2 linked regions of the Macaca mulatta genome follow. The protein of the gene in region 2 purifies or fractionates together with the protein of the main gene of each other region. This does not show direct contact. Links are inferred from orthologs where the notes say so. Each region holds a gene or a part of one and is shown on either strand. Other genes may lie near its edges.

Evidence for each region.
Region 1: the proteins of SYTL4 (region 2) and RAB3A purify together in Homo sapiens (affinity purification with mass spectrometry; 3 studies listed by BioGRID and IntAct, counting the BioPlex papers as one, with this or other methods). This does not show direct contact. The link is inferred for Macaca mulatta from reciprocal best matches to the Homo sapiens genes SYTL4 and RAB3A.

The regions. Positions count from the first base shown.
Region 1 is NC_133424.1:18,717,821-18,720,501, forward strand, and holds the end of RAB3A (ras-related protein Rab-3A), read right to left. Parts: intron 2,528-2,681; coding exon 2,403-2,527; intron 1,358-2,402; coding exon 1,167-1,357; 3' UTR 501-1,166; downstream 1-500. UniProt on the Homo sapiens protein: The small GTPases Rab are key regulators of intracellular membrane trafficking, from the formation of transport vesicles to their fusion with membranes.
Region 2 is NC_133426.1:107,583,290-107,587,418, forward strand, and holds the start of SYTL4 (synaptotagmin-like protein 4), read right to left. Parts: upstream 2,801-4,129; 5' UTR 2,684-2,800; intron 2,186-2,683; exon of another isoform or gene 2,092-2,185; intron 1-2,091. UniProt on the Homo sapiens protein: Modulates exocytosis of dense-core granules and secretion of hormones in the pancreas and the pituitary. Interacts with vesicles containing negatively charged phospholipids in a Ca(2+)-independent manner.

The sequences.
Region 1 (2,681 bases), on a different chromosome or scaffold from region 2:
ACCTGTGACCAAGATGTCCCACTTGGGACTCAGCACGGGGCTCACCCTGCCAACCAGTCCCAAGCCCCAACCCCTCAACACTGCCGTCCACCTGGCTCTGGGCCAAGCCACCGATCCAGAGCTCCCTCAGGTCCTGGGACTAAGGCGGGGATGTGGCCGATCCCCTCAGAGCAGGCTCAGGCCTGGAGTCGGCCCCCAAAAGTTTCAGGCAGGGCCGGGCAGCCTCTGTGTTTCCTTCCCTGGTCGTGAACTATGGAAATGCCATTAAATTATCTCTGTAATGTAACTGAAACTGCTGGCTGGGCGCAGTGGCTCACACCTGTAATCTCAGCCCTTCGAGAGGCTGAGGTGGAAGGATTGCTTGAGGCCAGGTGTTCGAGGCCAGCCTGGGCAACATAGCAAGACCCTGTCTCTATTTATATTGAAAAATAAAAATAACAAAAGAAAATGCTGTGGATGGTCAAAACCAGGGTGGGCAGGGCCCGGTGCTCACAGGAACACACGTGGTCCATTCGCTTTATTGGGTGTGTGTAGTGTTGTCTTGACATCTCCTAAGGAACTGGGGGGCACGTTTGACACTCATGAGGTCAGAACAGGTCTGGTGGGTAGGGGGAGGGGTCCCAGGGTGGTGAATACCCACAGCACAGCCCCCCACCAAAAGAGAAAACTGGGGGAGAGGAGCCCGGCAGGCCAGCCTCTGACCCCCATGGTCCGCACAGGGAAACCCCCAACAGCGGCCTTGGCCCACCGCGGCAGAGCCGAGGGACTGGCAGGCCTGGCCACCTCCCATTGCCTGATCAGCCTGCTCTAGGGTGTCATCTGGCCCCCTCTTCACAACTGACAACTGTGGTTGGGGGTGAATTTAAAAAAAAGGCGAGGGGGTTCAGGAGGGTGAGTGGTGAGTTCACAGGGCCACGAGACACCACGGCTGAGTGGGGAAAGGGCTATATGTACAGGATGGGCAGGGCTTGGGGTGGGCAGGGGAGCCCGGGCCCCTGGGGGACATCTTCGATAAATAAATAAATAGCTACAATAATAAATAAGGGTGATGGGCTAAGTCAGGAGTAGGGGTCTTGTGCCCATGGCTGGTAGGGGCCAGGTCAGGCCCAGGTAGTTGGGGGAAGGTGGGGAAGACGGGAAAGAGGGGAAAGGGGTTGGGGTGGCTCTCAGCAGGCGCAGTCCTGGTGAGGTGGCACCTGCTGGTCACTGAGCTGTGGGCCCTGCTTGGCGCCTGTGACCGCAGGGTCTGCCGTGTCCAATGACTCGGACATCTTCTCGCAGATGACGTCCACCAGGCGCTCAAAGGTCTGCTTGACGTTGATGTTGTCCTTGGCGCTGGCCTCAAAGAACTCGAACCCTGTGGTCAGGGAAGGCAGAGATGAGGACCCTGGCCACGCCCTATGCCAACTCCCAGAGATGCTTCTCTGAGGAAAGGAAACACTGGAGATTCCCAGTGCCAAGTAGGTTATTGAAGGTACTGACAAATCCCACAGAGAAGCAACGTTGAACTGGGTCAGCTCTGCATTTCCTGCTTTTTTTTTTTTTTTTTTTTTTTTTTTTTTGAGACAGGGCCTTGCTGTGTTGCCCAGGATGGAGTAGGGTGGCGTGATCATAGCTCACTGCAGTTTCGACCTCCTGGGCTCAAGTAATCCTCCACCTCCACCTCTCAAAGTGCTGGGATTATAGGCGTGAGCCAGTGCACCTGGCCTCCTGCCCTTCCTTCCGAAAACTGTGTCTCGTTGTCCTTAGGACCTGGCAAGACATGCCCTGCAGCATCCAGCCCAGCACCATAGACTGGCCCTGGAAGCCTCAGACACTCAAATCCAGCCGTGACCTCCCCCTGCTCACACACCCTCTGTGGCTCCCTATTGCCCTCCAAAGAGTCCCAGCCTCTCAGCATATGGTTGAGGCCCTCTCTGATCGGCTACATTTCCTCCAGCTGACCCTCATGTTTCAGTCTTGTGAAATTATCACCAAAACACACAGGATCTTTCTCACCACAAGCCTTTGCCCAAGCTACTTCCTCTGCCTGAAAGACCTTCTTCCAAGCTCTAGAGTCCACTGCCCACCACTCCAGGAAGCCTGGCTCCTCTCATGGGCTCCTCTCATCCAGGTCCCTCCCTCCACCTCAGGGGTCCCTTGAGGCCTCCCTAGATGCCTCTCGAGCCCAGCAACACCCAACAAAGCGTTGGACAATGAGTGTCAGAATCAATCCTTAAACTTTCTGCATGGTGAACTCCTACACATCCCTCAAGATCCGACACAAATGGCTCCTGGATGAAGGCTAGTTTGCAGAAAGTGTGAATTACCTGGCTTAGCTGTAAGACCTTGGGTGTGAGCCCTCCCCTTTCTTAGTGTCCTTTTTCTAGCCTTGTGGGTCTCTGGCCCAGCTGGGCACTCACCAAGGTGGTCAGCTAGCTGCCGGCCACGTTCTGATGACACCACCCGCTCATCCTCCATGTCACACTTGTTTCCTACCAGCAGCACCTGGGCATTGTCCCACGAGTAGGTCTTGATCTGGGTGGACCTATAGGATGCAGCCAGAGGGGGACAGGTTATTGCTTGGAGGATCCCAGCTCCACCCTGACGGGCTGGTGTGGAACCCGTGTCCTTGTCCGAGGGAGAAAGACCCTGAAGCTTGGCCCTCCATCCTCCCCACCATGCTTTTCCCCCATGTGCCC
Region 2 (4,129 bases):
AAGTCTACCGGTGAATACAACAGACAGCAATCCCTGCCCACAGGGTGTTTATGTTATGGTGGGTGAGGGAGTGGCAGGGCAGACAATAAGCGAGAAAAATGTAATAAGGTAGGGAAAGGGCATATGGAACGTTCAGAGAAGGGATTACACGTTTAAATAGGGTGATCAGGGCAAACTTGTAGCCGTGGTATTTCAAGCGCCTCAGGAAGGTGTCTTCTGTACTCTCAACCCCACCATCACTACACCTCAGCACCTTGAAGGAATGGCATGGTACATCCGGTTACTGGCACAAATATTTGCCAATATCTTATATTTAAGACAAAGGGAGCTCCAAGATCCAGACCTTGCCCTTAGAGAACTTACAGCCTTCCAGGTGGAAAAACAACTAAGCAGTGTTAAGGGCTGTACTGAGGTGTAAACAAAGTGCTTTAGGACACAGGATAACTGGCAATTCTGCTTGGGGGAAGAAGTATGTGTTCAGTAAGGCCGTTCCAAAGAAGGTGACTTTAGAACTCAATCTTGAGGGATGGATAGGAATTAATGTCAGGGGAATGGGCATGGGGGAGGAAAGTTAGCTTTTTAGGAAGAAAAAAAGGAACAGTTTGAGCAAGGTCCCAGAGCTGGGAATAGGGAGGACATTTTCTTCCTATCCCTGCCTGTGGTACTCCATCCATCCCATGACAAAACTAGCACACGATCACCCTCAAGCTCTCTGGTATGGCTGTCAGGAAATCCCTATCACTTATTTCTCCCCTAGCCAGCAGGAGAGGAAGAAATTGAGTCAGGCGCACATCCCTGGAATCCAGGGTTACCCTCCTCTAACTTCAAGACAATTACCACAGAGCTGAGAACCCGGGAGATTTCACTCATCTAGGTACACTCAGGGATGTGTACTTATAGTGGTAATGTGGCAACTGGCCCATGTCAGAAATGAAGTGGGTAAGACATCAGTAAGGTAAGTAGTCCATAGTCTCGGCAGTGAATCTAAGGGGGAATCAAGGAGCAAAACATATACTTGGAAGGAAATTTTTTAATCACTTAGTCCTCATTCATGAGCTATTCAGTGCTCCCAACATCCAAGACAATAGAGGTGGTGTGACAGGATAGGAACACAAGCTCTGCCTCCGAGATTGTGAGGGCAAGGCACTTACCCTCTAAGTCTCTTTTTCATCATAATATGGTTATAACTGTAGCACCTATTGTATAGAGTTACTGGGAGGATTGCATTTTTATGTAAAGAACTTATCACAGTGTCTGGCTCAATGGAGCCTAACAACCAGAGCCTAACAAGCTCAGAGAGCCGGAATGCTACATATACTCACAGATCAGTTACCCCAGAACAGGCCTCCGAGCTCCATTTCACTGCTCTGACCAAGAGTGAGACACCTGAAATCGTGTTAGCAGAAATGTTCATCCCCTGCCCAGACAGAGCCTCACAAGCCAAGTTGGTGTGCTTTTCTACTAGGGTGCTAAAAACCAAACCACCAAAAATGCGGAAAACTTCATCAAGGCCACATCTCTGCATTGAGCATTGTTCCCACAGCGACAAAAGTCTTAAGTCATTAATACCGCAATATTAATAGATTTATGAGAGGTGGGGGTGGGGAGCTTAAAGAGCAGAAAAGAAGCCAGTTAAATATAGGAGGTCCAGGATGTACAGAAGACTCATTTTTTGCCACAAATATACAAGGTCTAGGGTCAACCCTGCCAAGAGCAGTACTCTGGAATTTTACGTCCTCTAGTCCTGAAGAAGAAGGGTACTGGGGGAAGAAAAGCTTGGTTAATTAGAAACTCACCACTTTTCAAGCCACCAGAATTCTAACCAAATGATTTCACCACCCCAAATCCCATCTCAATGTTAAGGGTTGGAGGAACACCTTTTTCTGCCCCATTACAAACCATCACAGGAGACAGAAGCATTCTGTGCCCCTTCTGAGATCTCGGGGACCCTCCTCCAGTACCAGGTCTCTCACAGCCTGCTTGAAGAGCGGCAAGATAAACAGCTCCACAGCACGTAGCCAGGTCCCCAGCCCCAAGCGCAGAGGGAGCCCACTGAGGCAGGACTCCGGCCGACCAGCCTCCAGCCTTTACCTGTGGCTGACTGGCCAACGCCAGAGAAGCCGACGCCGAGATGTCGGAGGTCCGAAGAGAGTGCGGGTTAGCGACCCCGCTCGACGGCCAAGCGCTGCGAGAGAAACCCACGAAAAGGTGACTGCACGCCTTGGAGGGCGCAGTTCCCGCTAGGAGCTCGGCCCCGCCCCCGCCCCCAGGGCCAGCTCTCGGGAGGGGCACCAGCTCGGGCTGGCGGGAAAAGCCCGGGCACTCCGCGCGAGGGGAGCCGGAGAGGAGAGGGGAGGCGGCTCCCAGAGGGGCACAGCCCGCATTAGTGCTAGGTGGGTCAGGGAAGGGGCCAGAAGAAGCCCTAGAGAAAGAAAAGTGGCCGGGAGGGACCGCCCAAGCAGACGGGAGTCCAAGCCTGGGGGGTGCGGTCGGGAGAGGCGGACGGGGAGAGGGAAGACGAGGTCAGCTAGGGAGAAGGAAAAACTAGGGGAGCAGAGAGCAGGTAGGGAAGACGCACGACCCCGATATGGGGGTGGGGGCGCTTCAGCAGCGAAAAGGAGCTGGGGGTCCAGAAGGAGCCCCCAACCGAGGGCGAGGGGGCGGCCGCTGGCTGCTGACCTACCTGTCACCTGCAACAGGTGCCTCCAGAGAGCTAGACGTCCCAGTGCCGGTTTCGAGGGAGGGTCTCTGGCTCCGGGAAGATCGCCACCCAGCTCCGGCGGCCGGCCCTTCTCACCCTCCCGGGAGGCGGAAAAAGCTGCAACTTTCCCTGGAGCTGGGAGGAGCTGGACTCTTAAAGGGGCCGCACAGCGCCCCGGGCTCCTTAGTAGGGGGCCGCTCAGCCCGAAAGGGAGCTCTGGGACCCAAAGCCTTGAGACACAAGAGGAATGAATGTCCTTCCAGGTTAGGAGTGGGAGCCTAGGGACCGAGGATAGGGGTCTAACACTAGACGTGCCTCCCCACCCCCTTACTTCCATCTGTTGGTCGTTCCCTTAGATGGTGAAATCACCTGCCCCTTTCATTCTGCTGAGTCAAAAGTTGTCAAATTGTCTCACACTTCTAAGGAGATAAAAGAATATGAACTATCTAATTTGGGTAAGTAAAATATGATACCATTCTGATCCTTTAACTTATGGCCTTTTATGGCAAATTGTCTGTCTAAAATAGAAACGTTTTGGGCAAAGGAGTAGACTAAATTCACACATACACACTCAAGAACACAACTGGTTAAAATATTCAACTCACTAGTAATCAAAGAAAAGCAAATTAGAACAATAATGAGATTATTTGGCAAAGAGTTTTGTTTTTTATTTTTTAAATAACACTTAATGATGACAAAGTAGCCACCAAACAAGCTCTCATAATTGCTGATAGGAGCATATGTTGGTTAAAAACCCTTTTAGAAAGCATGTGAGCAGTATATATCAATAGACTTTAAAATGTTTATACCTCCCCAGTAATTGCAGATTCCCCTCCCTCTCTTTCCCATCCCTCTCCCCCTCATTTCACATCAGCAATTAAACATGCTCAAGTATCTACCATCTTAAAACAATATCCTCCCTACACAGGAGGTCCCTCTTCAGGTCCTCTTTATGGGCAAATGTATTGAAAACATACTTTACAGGTGAAATTGCAATTTTTATTCCCTTACGTCTCATTCATTTCTCAGCTCTCAGCAGTCTGGCTTCCTTCCCCCACTGAAACTTCTCAATGAGATAAAAAACCAATGACCCTCAGTGTCGATAAATCCACAAATAAGTAAGGTATTTTTGGTCCTTATTTTGCTTGACTTCTCCCCTACATTTAACACTGTTAACCATTTCCTCCTCCTTGAAATGTTCTATGGCATCTATGACATTATACTCTTGCTTTTCCTCCTACTCCTTTGCCCTCTCCTCAGTGACCTTTGTAGGCCACTCTTCTGCTATCTGACCTCTGAAAGTCAGACATTCTCAGGGCTAGGATACATATACTCCCTCCCCCAAATAATCTTTTTCACTCACTTGGCTTTAATTATCGTATATATGGTCACAACTCTAATTCTATAACTCTACCCAGACCGCTTTAT